2 linked regions of the Lepisosteus oculatus genome follow. The protein of the gene in region 1 interacts with the protein of each later gene in a pairwise test. Links are inferred from orthologs where the notes say so. Each region holds a gene or a part of one and is shown on either strand. Other genes may lie near its edges.

Region 1 (7,374 bases):
ATTAGCAACACCCAAATCTAAACAAAACCCGCATAGCTAACTCTTGTTGAAATACTTACGGGCTTCTCCACCAGATGGAGCCACTCATTGAGGTAGTTCACTAGTGCAAAAGCATGTGGCATATTGTCACCTTCGGAGCAGAATATCAACAGCACTGCTAATGGGATCCCTTCTGAACAGCTGAAATACAGAAATACACAAATCTCTCCCAATATATGTTTGCACTGCACAGAAAATATCAGTTTTATTCAGACAAGTCCAGTACAGAAAGTGTGGTGAACTGTATGTGTCGGCACACATGGTTAATCTAGGGTGACAGTTATAAGAATGTTTTCTTTTTATTGTATTCAGTATTCATAAGTAATAATTACAATTTATAAATGTTTGCTTCCTAGTATTATCTACTACACCAAAAGGAATAGTTTGGACGGGGGTTACTCCCAACTTTTTGCCAATATTTTACAAGCAGGACAAATCTACATCTTTGTAGAACACAGTGTACGATTGATCAGAAATGCCTCCCAACAAGACCCGTAGGCTTTTAGTTCAGCGGGTCTGGAATCAATCCTGAGAAGAGCCTGACAGCCTTACACTGACAGACCCGATATAAGTATTCAAATTCTTCAAAGACACTGACAAAGTCAACCCTGTGAGCTTTTTTAGAATTCACTAGAAAAAAAAAAGGAGTAGAAATGGACAGTGAATTAATGTGAACTTGATTTATTTGTTGGCTTTCTCTATATAACCTTAGGGCTCTGGCCTGTACGTTCAGATGCATGCTGATTTCTCTCTAGATCGTTTGGTTTGTTACATGTACATCCAGCATAAAGCTCCCATGCTATTTCAATAAATTAATTTGAATTTAGCAATCAGATTGGTGGAATACAGACGACTTTTAACTCAGCGGGTTAATTTAAAGAATAAGGCCCTGGACACTAGTGTAAAAGGGAGAATAGTACATTTAGCAGTGCAGGGTTCACTGAAAGTCCTGAACGCCGCAGTCTCGCTGGACGTACCAGTCAGCGTAGAGGGTTTTAGTGACACCTCCTCCAGGGATGTACAGGCGTTGCTCCGTGTCACTGATCCCCGGAAAAGCCGACACCTTCTCCATCTCTTTCCAGTCCAGCTTCTGCAGTCCATCTCCGACAACGCTCTGCAGGGCAGGAGTGAGCAAATAGCGCAGAGGAGTGCTGGAAGCAGAGGACGGAATATTTCTTTTTTGTCAATATAGTCAACCTCATATAAGCATAGAGATCCAAAAGACCAGGACAGCGATTCAACGAGCCCAGTTATAGAGGCTGAGTGTGGAGCGAGCACGAGCAGTGAGGAAGGAGACTTCAAGAGCGTAGATATCGATGATCGAGGAGCAGTAATAATGCACACAGCCAAGGTGGGCCTCTCTCAGCCAGTCCCATGTGGTCAATTTAGCATTTTCCAATTGACGACCGTGTTTGTTTTATTATCATCATTTTTTTTTATTTGATGTTTTGTGCGCAGTTCAATTTCCTATGTGTGCTGATCTCGTAACCTGTGCGTGCGCTTACCCGCCCACAGCTCAGAGGGAACATTGCTCATACCACACATTACTACACAACAATTCAACTAATGTAATGCTACTTTGCGTTAAAGGTATAGGTTAAAGGTACTTTGCGCAGGATAATTGTCCATCCAGAACATCGGGAAGAAAAGGTTTAAACGAACTAAAGCTTCTGCCTGTCTGCTTTATTCTTTATTCTTATTCCCCTCAACATTGTGCTGCTGAAAGACCACACAGAATCAGCAGTAAATCTGCTAGCCACTTGTTTTTATCTACTGGGTCAAAGAGCCATCAATGTGAAATACTACATTCATCACAGAGAAGAGAAAGACAAAATGACATAAAACCGAAGATTAAAGATGAGAGGTCTCTCACCTGAGGAGCTGACGGTCATCCCGATGATGAGCATGACAGCTAGACAGGAGGACAACTTTGGAGAATTTGTTTGTCTTGATCCAGGAGACAACACGTTTCCGAAACTGCCTGTATTTCGTCTAATAAGGCAAGAAAGAAACGATTAGACCTATTCCTGTAAGTTGAATGGTCACAGAAAAGCTGTACTAACAAAATGACAGACTAGCTTTTTTACAAGTAATAGAGGTTTATTCCATGCTGAAAAAAAAGAAGAAAGAGAACACAACGTTTCGGCCGTGGAGCCTTCTTCAGGTCTGGGCTTGGTCACACACCAAGGTCACACACCTGAAGAAGGCTCCACGGCCGAAACGTTGTGTTCTCTTTCTTCTTTTTTTCCAGCATGGAATAAACCTATTACTTGTTCCTTTGCAGCCTACGCATCTGACGCAGCTACCCACCTGAACTAGCTTTTTTACTACCCATAATTTAAACTCAAAGGAATGGACCATTGTAACTTATTATAATACACTTATTATGAAAGCCAACAAAGCTGCAGAAGTATACAATAAAAGTGATATAATGAATGCGACTTCACTAGCACTGAATGTGCGATTATAGGTTTATGTACTTTTCTTCTTGAACATTCACTACACTTCGGTGGGGCTCTACACAAATATAGTAGTCCTACTTGTGGTGGAGTTAATTACTCCGTCTACCTTCTTAGACAGGTTAATTACCCTTAATGACTTAATTAGTCTAATTAATTCATCTAATCAGCCTACTTAGCCTCTGGTCCATAGCTTCTTACCTGTATGATGGGAGCCCGGATCTGAAGGACAGCCAGCTTTAAGTCAGGCAAAGAGTACACTGTGCACAGACAAAAACAGAAAATGCCACTGACATTTCTTTGGATGTAACTTTTTATCATTAAATCTATATACAGTACTAAATACATCTGTAACACAGAATGTGCAGACTTATATGGAAAGAGGCACAGCACTTGAATTGTCAGAATGTTACATACAATTTTGGTCACTACATCATAAAAAATCATTTGTTGTTCTTTCATCAGTCCAGCAAAGAACCACCAGACATTCAGGGACTGAATGGAATATCCTATACGAACAGGCTACACGCACTGAACCTTTTTCATCTTGAACACAGAAGACTACAAGGGGACCTGAACCAAGTTTTAAACATTCTCAAAGGCACTGACAAAGTCAACCCAGTGGTCTTCTTTAGAATAAACAAGAGGACACAAGTAGAAACTGACAGTGAATAAACGTGAGCGTGAATTATTTGCTGGTTTTCTCTAGAAAAGCTTATGTTCTGGCCTGTATCAGAAAAAGAATATCCACTGTAAGTGTGAGTTCAGATGAATACTGAACGTTCTTTTGGTGGACTACATGTACGTCCAGCATGAAATTCACATATTATTTCAATAAACGTATTGATTTAAATCTACAACACTTAAAGATGCAATAATAATTTATAGATGCAAATTATTATGCATTTTAAGGATGATCTTAAATCACTACATAGCCTGAACCTGCTATAGTACACAGCAGATCGGTTATTTACAAGAGTTTGAGAACTACAACAAAACTACCACACATTCAAGACAAGCTGTGTCAGTTTGGTACGGGCTATCTAAAAAATCTAAACTTCGTTGCATCCAGACGCGTTGATGCATATACGTATCTTTGATGAGCAGAATCCGTCCACATACTAACCTTCGGCATTTGTACTGAGTTCAGATGAATCTTCTGGCGATGTGGCATAGGGATTATTTCCTACCATGGGTACTAGACAGTCACTGTGGAAATAGCCCACTCGAGGCATGTGAAGGGTAGAAATGACCAGGTCTGTTGCAAACTGTCCCACGTTTCCCACCGATACCGCCGGCTACAATCAACCACAGGATAACAGCAAAGTAAAGGAACGGAAAAATATATAAGCCCTTTTTTAACATGTAAATTAACAACTAGAAAAAAACAACATTAAGCATAATGTAAAACGTCTAACTTACCATTATAAGGGTAAACTCTTTGAAAGAGGGCGCTGAGCACCCAACCGGAATAAACATGTTTGCGAGTAAGAAAAATAGACAATTCGGTAAAATGATTTTTAACTGTACTAATGTGTACAGAATGACAACTTTCCGTTTCACTACAACTCCATGCTACTTCCAGGGTCCTTCCTTGACATGACGCTCGCTTGGAGTCTGTTACGTTGAGGGTGGACTTATATGGTGCCTGATGAAAACTAAAATGACTTTTTGTTAGACACAAAATATATAACGAAAATGTCATTATCTTTAAAAAGTATGGACAAATATATAAATTGGGTGTAATATGTGTGCTATTTCCCTTTGCTGCATTTTATTTTGTGCAAGATTAAGTCGGGCACTACAATGGATGGCTTCCCGCTGGCTTTTCCGCCACGGTTTGAAAGTTCTGTCTGCTCGTTGGTTGTTGTGGGGAGGAGACGAGCTTGACGGTTCAGACTGCTGCTTTCGAAAACCTGGAAAGCGAAATCAGCCCCCCTTTTTTTTTAGTTTGACCAGTTTCAATTTAAGTAAGCAGGGGGAGTGTGAAAGTAGTCACGTAATTAAATAAGTAACGATTTGTTCGTTGGGACTTCTATACAGTAGACGTCCTCTGTGAGCATGTCTCTTCCACCAGAAAAGGCTTCTGAGCTGAAACAGATCATTCACAACCACTTGACAAAGGTGAGTACAGTATTAGTCTCACCAGAGACGCCTGCATGCTTTGGAGAAATAATATGATCTTAACCCATCGTCCAGACTTTCCAAAGAAACGAGTCCGGAGCTTAAAGTTTGCGGGAATAATGTTGTAGCACTCGAAGATACTTATGGGCCACTTCAGTGAAAGTACAGGTAGCTAATGTGACAGGTAACAGTCCGTCTTTCTAAGCTGTTCCTGCTGTCATGTTTTCGGCTTCAGGTTGAGCATTCAGTCGGTAAGGTTTCCTCCTGGTTTTAGTTGCCCGATTGCTGTGCTCTGTCCACGGTTCTGAATTGTTGTCTGATCTCTTAAATTCCGGACTCTGTAGTTGCCAACATTAAATAGTTCCTTTGGCCTACAGTTCTTAAAAAAAAATATTTGAAATCAACTCAAGCATTTTTCGAAATAATCAGATAACCATCATCGCACTCTGCAGACCCACTGGGGAAGGCCTTGGTACAGAACTGTGCTTCTTGTAGGTTCAGTGCGACTAAGCTTTAACGCATGCTACTGTATTAGCACTCAGAAAATGGGCGTATGTACCACGAGAAATCATATTTTAATGTGAAAATTTTAATCAAGATCGTGTTCAAGCTGTATGCGGCGTTTATTTGAAGATACAGTGTAAACAATTTTTGTTTTCATCATTCACATATCTTCTACGGTAGTTTGATTCCAGCGAAGATGAAAGAAGGCCTTTGGTCCAATCCACCTCTTATGTTAGTAGCTGATTGCCGTTTCTTGCCTGAAGCCAGGGTACAGGCTACAACACAATGTCTGGGTAGTTTGATTCATAATACTCTCACCCTTTCTGGGATAAAGAAGTAATAATAATAATAATAATAATAATAATAATAATTGCTTACACTTATATAGCACTTTTCTGGACACTCCACTCAAAGCGCTTTTACAGGTAATGGAGACTCCCCTCCACCACCTGGATGATGCGACGGCAGCCATAGTGCACCAGAACGCTCACCACACATCAGCTATTAGTGGGGAGGAGAGCAGAGAGTAATGAAGCCAATTCATAGAGGGGGATTATTAGGAGGCCATGATTGGTAAGGGCCAATGGGAAATTTGGCCAGGACGCCGGGATTACACCCCTACTCTTTTCGAGAAACGCCCAGGGATTTTTAATGACCACAGAGAGTCCGGACCTCGGTTTTACGTCTCATCCGAAGGACGGCACCTGTTTACAGTATAGTGTCCCCATCACTATACTGGGGCATTAGGACCCACATGGACTGCAGTGTCTGCTGGCCCCAATAACACCTCTACCAGTAGCAACCTAAGTTTTTCCCAGGAGGTGTATCTAATGGATGTATCTAATGGATGCATGTGCAGATCGATATCCATGGGAAGATCCGGGATGTCTTGGCTGAGACCGTGCGGGAGGAGCTGGGCTCTGGACATCACAATCTCTCGGAAGAGGACTTAATACGGGGTTTGCAACGAAGGGGGATCGTCGATGATGTCATGAAGGACCTAAGCTTTGTGCAGGTGAGTGTTTGATTCAGATCAGGATTACAATCCAGTTTATCTCGCGGTATCTTACCGACGCAGAAAACTATCTCTGTTTTCGGTTGTTTCCATTTTAACTCTGTATCTATGTTTTCAATAATAATAATAATAATAATAATAATAATAATAATAATAATAAACTTTATTTTATATAGCGCCTTTAAAGGTGGCTTCTCAAAGCGCTTTACAGGATGACAATAACAATAAATAAGAAGACTACAACAATAAATAGGAAGATTTCACAAGATAAGACACAATTACAATTACAACAATAACAATAGAGGAGACCGTGGAAGGTGGTACTAAGAAGAGCAGAGGGGTGAAGAATGGAACCAGTTAAGTAAAGGCTTTTCTGAAGAAGAAGGTTTTGAGTCTGGATTTGAAGGAGTTTAGAGAAGCTGACTCTCGGATATCCTTGGGCAAAGAGTTCCAGAGCTTGGGGGCATAGCAGGAGAAGGCCCTGTCGCCCATACAATGTAGACGGGCTTGGGGGACAGTAAGGAGGGCTTACTTAATAATGAAGGAAGGACACTTATTTGTTGGGAAGTGTGCTGTTAAGTACATGATACTGTATAAGGGTGACATGTTTTCCCCCCGTGAAGAAATCTCCTGATGTCTGTTTCCCTTCCCTCTGTGTGTGTGGCCTGGATTAGGAATTGCCAAGCAGAGAGGCCATCTCTACTCCTAAACCCTCAACACATTTTGTCGACAAGGAGCCAGCACAACTCAAGAAAAGTAAGAAAGACTTTTAACGATATGCAGTGCAATAATGTTTGGTCCATTCAGTTAAATTGGAAGAACTGAACTGGAAATTACCATTTACCATTTTAATGGCATATTACATAAAGGCAAAAAAAAAAATCTTACAATAGGCAGTCTGATTTACTTCAGGGTATGCGTTAGTGTTAGCTTTTTGACTCCGAAAATACTGGTTTAACGGTTCGCTTGTGCTACAAAACTATCGTGCAGTACTTCCTTGCTTTACTAAAAAGTAGAAATGGGATTTTTTTACTGAGTGTGAACATGAAGTAATCCTTTTGTCACTGTTATTTATCGATTACTTTAAAATGAGCCTAATTCTAACTCCATAATCGCATTAATGGCCCATCGGCGTCTCCTAATTGAGGTTAATTTCTTTTCCAGCCAACATTGACCCAACAAGAAGGTACCTTTACCTGCAGGTTCTTGGGGGAAAGGCTTTTCTGGAGCATC
Region 2 (7,323 bases), on another chromosome or scaffold:
TAAAAACGACTTCACTTGAGAACCCAGGATTGGAAACAAGATGCCCTCCAAGAGCTCACCATGTTCTGTCTAGATATTTAATAAATTTATATAAAATTCAACACCGTTTTCTTGTTTCCTGTGAAACCATGTCTGGATGTGAACAAAAGCCAACAAAGGTGTGAAAGTTGTTTTTCTGAAATTTTTAGGAGCATGTTACACAGTAATGGACATCTACATTGAATACATTTACATCAGTTAAACTGATGAGAAAGCATTATTCATTTTTATACATGCAAAACTTGCATTAAACAGAGTACCGTACCTTGCGAGATCTTGAAATCTCTGCTCCGATTCAATTTGAAACAATCACAGCTACGATGCTTTTTACATTAAATGGAAGAGAAAATGTCAGTGATAACCCAGTTGTATCCTGGCTGGGTGCACAGCAGAGACGAAGACAGACATTCTGGTTCTGCGCCGGTAGTCTGCCTCGAGGCAAACTGGAAATAAGCAGTCAAACTAGAATGGGACGGGTACTGTATTTAATCAGAAAGATCTCAGCTCAGGTCCTGAAGAAACGCCGTCAGTCGTGTGCATCTCTTCACGAGAACTTGACGAATGCTGGACCGGCCTTAAGCCGACACACAGTTCCGGGTGGTGGCAGAGGTCTGGCTGCAGTCCTGCTGTTGTCACAGCATCACGGAGGGCAGCTGGGCTCCTCCCCCCGTCGCTCAGGAGCCCTTAAGCTTCCCCTGCTGGAGGGGCGCGTGCCAGTCCGCTGGGGGGGTCTGCCGGAGCTCCCACACGGGCACGAACCCCCTCTGCTGCTCCACTCTGGCTCGCTCGCTGTCCCGCAAGGCCTCCTGTGGTCACAGAGGAAAGTCACTGGTGCACAGAAACAGGGTTCACGCCGTCTAATCGCTGTGCCTCGTGCCCAAACTCCCCAAACCCAATTCTCCCTGCGCCACAACTGGCAGGCGGAGGCCACACGGTCCAAGCAAAGGCTTGATCGGCGAAGAGTTCCTGGTTCAAACCCAGGCGCTGCCACCAGCGCGCTGTGTCACCCTGCTCAAATCATTGAACCTCCTCTGAGCGCAGACCTGAGAGTGAGAAGTGCATTCGGCACCTCGAACCGCAGCGTCTGCCGTTTACACGAAGAGTTGCGGGGGTCTGGAACGCGCTACCCAAGCACGTTGTCGAGGCCGCTATCCAGCCGTTTCTGAAAGGCGCCAGGGTAAGAACCTTGGACTGATTAGCTGCTAACCACCAACACAGCGAGACCTTTGGTAGAAGGAACGTATTAGACTTACTACTGACTTATTACACATGCCCTTTCTTATAAGGAGTAGAACTAAGGTTATGTTGAGAAGTAAATCCCAACAGGCTACGATATAAGAACCTGCCGAGGAAAAATGGATCAACAGACAGCTTGAACAAACCACTTGCTGATCAACGGAAAGGCCAAGGGTGACCAGGGTCCGCACGGCGCTCACCTTGGCCTCCGAGCCGCGGTGCCTCTCCCACTCGCAGCAGCTGTAGTGGTCCGTCTTCCACTGCTGGCACGAAGGGGCCCGTCCGAAGGTGTAGTAGTGGTGCAGGCGGTTCATCAGGCTCCTGCAGTGCCTGTATTCGCTCAAGTAGTCGGCGCAGGACCGGGGAGGCTGCAGGCGAAGCACATGGAGGTGAAACTGTTCCCCACAGTGCTCGCAGGTCACTCCTCCCGCCAGCAAGGGCAGAGAGCACAGCGAGAACCCTTACAGTAAGAGCAACCTATAGACATCTACCTATACACATCTTATAATAATAATAATAATTGCTTACACTTATATAGCGCTTTTCTGGACACTCCCCTCAAAGTGCTCTACAGGTAATGGGGATCCCCTCCACCAGCACCAGTGTGCAGCTCCACCTGGGTGATGCGCCAGTCCGCTCCCCACACACCAGCTCTCAGTGGGGAGGAGGGCAGACTGATGAAGCCAGTTCAGAGATGGGGGTTATTAGGAGGCCATGATTGGTAAGGGCCAAGGGGAAATTTGGCCGGGACACCAGGGTTACACCCCTACTCTTTTCAAGAAACGCCCTGGGATTTTTAATGACCACAGAGAGTCAGGACCTCGGTTTCACGTCTCATCCGAAGGACGGCGCCTGTTTACAGTATAATGTACTCATCACTATACGGGGGCATTAGGACCCACATGGACTGCAGGGTGAGCACCCCCTGCTGGCCCCACTAACACCGCTTCCAGCAGCAACCTTAGTTTTTCCCAGGAGTCTCCCCTCCAGGTACTGACCAGGCTCACCCTGCTGAGCTTCAGTGGGCTGCCAGCTGTGAGCTGCAGAGTGATATGGCTGCTGGCTTTACCATCTTAACCATGCTCCGCTCATTTCTTTATCTTTAAAACTCGTATTTAGAAATATCTTTACTGCTATTAGGAAAATGCTATTAGGGTTAAGTATGAAGTGCCAGAAATGATTCAGTATTCAAGAGTAAGCTCATTTCAAAATGTATAACGGTAACTACCAGGGTAAAAACAGAAGTGTTCGGTGAACACCGGCGTATCTGTTATTTAATGGATTTTACTCTGCGGAGAAGCTACCGGTCATTCAGCTAATCGATCCGTACTTTTTTTTTGTTGAGACCACAAACCATATTCGAAATATTTAACGCCAAATTTATAAGCTTACCCTCCAAAGCGCCATCGTGAGCAGCAGGACTTCCGGCAAGGACAGGAAGTTTTGAGGCTGTTCTCTGGTCAGCCAATCACAGACAGGGCATACGCTCTGCCCCCTCCCTCTTCCCTGCGCTCCTGTCACCAGGCTTGCTTCCTAAGTAATCACTTGCCCTTCAGCTCCTGATGTGGTAATGCGAGTCAGTTAGACGCCTTTCTCATAAAGATAAAGGGGGTTCATCCATTCATAGTTCTACTAATAAAATTACTTTTCCATTCCATTAAACTGTGTGCATTTAGGAAGAAACCAGACCACCCTGCAAAAAGTCTCAAAACAACACAGGAGAACATGCAAACTCCACACAGAGGTGTCTGAGGTCAGAGTCGAACCCAGGACCCTGGAATCATGCAACAGCAACACCCACCACCATGCCAGTGTGCCAATCCCAGCAAGCTTTATAGATCAGCAGGAGCTTCAGCCCTGTGGTAAGAGGGAGGAACTAGTCCAGTTAAGCCTTAATAATAATTGCTTACACTTGTATAGCGCTTTTCTGGACACTTCACTCAAAGCGCTTTACAGGTAATTGGGATCCCCTCCACCACCACCAGTGTGCAGCCCCACCTGATGTAGTGCACCAGAACGCTCACCACACATCAGCTATCAGTGGGGAGGAGAACAGAGTGATGAAGCCAGTTCAGACATGGGGATTATTAGGAGGCCATGATTGGTAAAGGTCAATGGGAAATTTGGCCAGGATGCCGGGGTTACACCCCTACTCTTTTCTAGAAACGCCCTGGGATTTTTAATGACCACAGAGAGTCAGGACCTCAGTTTTACATCTCATCAGAAGGATGGCGTCTTTTTACAGTATAGTGTCCTCATCATTATACTGGGGCATTAGGACCCACACAGACCGCAGGGTGAGCGCCCCCTGCTGGCCCCACTAACACCTCCTCCAGCAGCAGCCTTAGCTTTCCCAGGAGTCTCCCCTCCAGGTACTGGGCAGACTCACACTGCTGGGCTTCAGTGGGGCTGCCAGCTGGGAGCTGCAGGGTGATATGGCTGCTGGCTAATTAATTGCCTTAGTAAGGCAGTTTAATCCTCACCCTGATGTCAATGCTGATGTTTCAACAACACGAGTGGGCCCTTCGCATCCTACAACCACAAACCATTGTGTGAAGAAGTCTCTGCTGTTTCCCGTGCGTGATCGATTTTCTATTGAACTTTTAGGATTTCAGTACCTGTATTAGTGCCCATGTTGTCAGGTCATGTGTTCAATGCTATAAGGATTTCTTTAAACTGTCTGGAAGATTTTCTTATCAGCCCAGGAAATAACCTTGCAGGGCCGAACGTTTCTGAGCCAATACCTCAGAAAACTTCATTCTTTAATGACATCCCTGAAATTAAACACAGGGATCTGCAAATCACACTGCTGCACCATATAGGAGAAAACAAAATATTGCCTCTTCAAATTGTACAGACAATACAGATGAAGAATAAAAGCACTCATAAGTGGGTTTATATCGGCTTTATTAAAAGTATTAAGTGGTTTTGATATATATAGTACATAAATTAGCAAAACAGTGAATCCCTGTATTGTATTAACCAAAAGTTATAATGCAGTTATGTGAAATAATTCCGATATCTGTAGGACAATTGTTTTCTTCCCCAATCTTTTTCCATAAGTTTGTTCCTGTGTGAAAATTCTTTGTTGAATGAAAACCAGGAAAAAAAAAACTCTTCTGGGGCTCCGAATTCCGAAGTGAGGGACACGCAGAGAGGAAGTCTGGCTCTACCCGTCGGCAAATTGATTTCACTCGTCACTGGTGGGTCCGGGTCGGAGCTCAGGGCCTGCGTGTCCACCCTCTGTCCGTTCCCTGCTTGACAGGGGGGGGGGTCCTAGGGTTTCCTCCCTTTCTTGCGCAGCGACTGGCCCTCACCGGAGAAGGCGATGAACCTGTTCACGGCATCCTCCTGCAGAACAGTGGAGACGGACAGCAGACAGCGCCTCGTTAGGCTCTCTTCAGGAAGCGGCCTCAACAGGCATAGGGCCCCAGTGCATGGGACAGCTGGACGCCACGCCTGGCAACCAGGAGGGAGTCTCCACAGCTGCTTGAGCCCACTGAAGCTCAGCAGTGTGAGCCTGGCCAGTACCTGGCTGGAAGCCTCCTGGGAAAAACTAAGGTTGCTGCTGGAAGAGGTGTTAGTGGGGCCAGCAGGGGGCGCTCACCCTGCGGGCTGTGTGGGTCCTAATGCCCCAGTATAGTGACGGGGACACTATACTGTAAACAGGCGCCGTCCTTCGGATGAGACGTAAAACCGAGGTCCTGACTCTCTGTGGTCATTAAAAATCCCAGGGCGTTTCTCGAAAAGAGTAGGGGTGTCACTCCGGCATCCTGGCCACATTTTCCATTGGCCCTTACCAATCATGGCCTCCTAATAATCCCCCTCTATGAATTGGCTACAACCCTCTGTTCTCCTCCCCACTGAGAGCTGGTGTGTGGGGAGTGTTCTGGTGCACTATGGCTGCCGTCACATCACCCAGGTGGGGCTGCACACTGGTGGTGGTGGAGGGGATCCCCATTACCTGTAAAGCGCTTTGAGTGGAGTGTCCAGAAAAGCGCTATATAAGTGTAAGCAATTATTATAATTACTAATTATTAATTAAAACACTACGACCAGCACATGAATTCGGGATTTAAAGTGCAATATAAAACCGAGAAGGACCCCACTGCTATTTTGACATGGGAGGGGAACCCCACTTTGTTCCACTGCTATTTTGACATGGGAGGGGATCCCCACTTTGTCCCCCACTGAAGTGCAGCCCAAGGTGAGTGACAGGCTGCACCTTTCTGCACAGTCTATCAGGTGGAGGAGTGACAAGCTGCTTCACTAAATGAATTAAGCTGGGACTTTAGGAAGGCCAGATTGTTCAAGAATTTAAACAGGACACCAGGATTACACCCCTACAGGGCCAAGAGGTCTTTAATGAGCAAGTAATCAGCTTAATGTCTCTCCCAAAAGGACAGCACCTCCTACGGTAGCAATCTGGTCACTACTGGTGTGGAAATTGTTTTAGAGGAAAGAACGCCGCCTACTGACAGCTGGACAGCCATCTTGCACAGCCATCTTGCACAATGGATTAACGCAGGGGAGTTAAGTTTTGATTTCATCTGCTTCCGAGTTAAAACATGCAGGGACAAATTCAGAACTTGAATCTCTTTTTAAGTTGAAAGGACAAAGACAAAAAAGGGCAACTATTTCTTTCTTTCCTTAACACTTACATCGTCTATTTTCTTCGGCTGCGGCCGTGAATTCCTGATGAAGGTTATCTTCCCCATCCTGAAGTCGTAGTTCGGAATGCCCCTGAGGGAGAGGGGAAAACCACCGGTCACTTCAAGCCGAATCCTTGCGGATCAGTGCGGGATCTCGGCTCACACACCTCCCAGGATGCGTGATGTCTAAGAGCTCGGTGCGCAGCTGAAAACACCTGAAAATACAGCGATTCCCTACACTTCCCCCTTTGCCTCCCTCGTCCTGCTTACCGACAGGCCTCGCCGTCTTCATATATAAAACCATGTTTCAGTAATAGGTGTGCAAGATGGAATCACCAGTGCACCGGTCATCAACACTGCCCTCCCACCATGGGGCAGGAGGCACTGCCTCTCCAAAAGCTTTACCCTTCTGCCCTGCGCCAGAAAAAAAATCCCTAGTTCTTGGAAGAACTGTCCAGAAGCCACAATACATTTAGGTAGGCTCTAATCTCTATTCTCAAACATTTTTTTAGAAAATTGGCTTTTTGTTTTTTGAAGGCTCTGAACATCCGTGCATGTCATCAAGTTAATGGGGCGGAGTGGTGGCTCTGTGGCTAAGTATCTGCGCCCGCAGCCAGCAGAGGATTCCCACTCCGTTTGGCCCCTGAGCAAGGCCCTTAACCCCAACTGCTCCAGGGGCGCCGTATAAATGGCTGACCCTGCGATCTGACCCCAAGCTATTTTTACTTTCTGAATACAATGGTTAAAGCCCCAACATGTTTAACAACAAGCAGGTCGAATGAATCTTCATGTGAAGGGTCTGACTGTGAAACTGAGGGCTCGGCTGGAACACGAACAAACAGGTGTGCTCGTCACCAGCACCAGAGCTGGGGACCACTGCCACAGACTCCAGGCCCAGACGGTACCTCCCAGCAGAAGATCCCCGCTCTGGGATTGGCTGAATTAGAAGCTGGCAAACGAATCGGCATGCTCTGATTGGGCGGGAAGTCATTCCCTAACTTCCCTTCTCTAATGTTCTCCTTTCTGGCCCCTTTGCTACCGGAAGATGACCAGGGGACCCGAGCTCTTTTTGCGACACGGAAACGCACAGACAGGCCAGCGTGAGCGGGTGGGAGACCTTTTGATGTCGTTGGGGTCCAGAGGCGCAGGGCTGGGCTCGATGCCCTTCTTCTTGCCGTCCAGTCGGTTCCCTGATCCCGTGAATGCCTGACAGGGACAAGGGAGGATAAGAACAGGATCAGACGAGATGCAGCCCTTTTCGCTCCCACAGTGCTGAGCAGCTAGTTGACCCCCAAGATCTCATCCTGCCTTTTCTGTTCCTTGATCGGGCAACACACCCCCCCCACTCTTTGTGTAAACCAGATTAAATATGACAAGAAGAAGTGCTGATCATAAG

The links. The genes of interacting proteins can lie anywhere in the genome.
Region 2: the proteins of cep76 (region 1) and c22h22orf39 interact in binary tests that used the Homo sapiens proteins (3 or more experiments, as listed by UniProt). The two-hybrid records come from large-scale screens. The link is inferred for Lepisosteus oculatus from reciprocal best matches to the Homo sapiens genes CEP76 and C22orf39.

What each region holds. Positions count from the first base shown.
Region 1 is NC_090705.1:9,336,156-9,343,529, reverse strand, and holds the start of cep76 (centrosomal protein of 76 kDa), read left to right. Parts: upstream 1-4,370; 5' UTR 4,371-4,559; coding exon 4,560-4,622; intron 4,623-5,985; coding exon 5,986-6,141; intron 6,142-6,815; coding exon 6,816-6,897; intron 6,898-7,305; coding exon 7,306-7,374. Other genes in the region: psmg2 (proteasome assembly chaperone 2), read right to left, coding at 60-180, 1,017-1,190, 1,913-2,031, 2,700-2,758, 3,625-3,796, 3,921-3,977. UniProt on the Homo sapiens protein: Centrosomal protein involved in regulation of centriole duplication. Required to limit centriole duplication to once per cell cycle by preventing centriole reduplication.
Region 2 is NC_090717.1:1,244,667-1,251,989, reverse strand, and holds c22h22orf39 (synaptic plasticity regulator PANTS), read right to left. Parts: upstream 2,777-7,323; 5' UTR 2,683-2,776; coding exon 2,668-2,682; intron 1,644-2,667; coding exon 1,476-1,643; intron 846-1,475; coding exon 714-845; 3' UTR 510-713; downstream 1-509. Other genes in the region: ufd1l (ubiquitin recognition factor in ER-associated degradation protein 1), read right to left, coding at 4,552-4,626, 5,937-6,018, 7,045-7,133. UniProt on the Homo sapiens protein: Negatively regulates long-term potentiation and modulates adult synaptic plasticity. Stabilizes the interaction of RTN4 isoform A/Nogo-A with its receptors, inhibiting clustering of postsynaptic AMPA receptors at synaptic sites.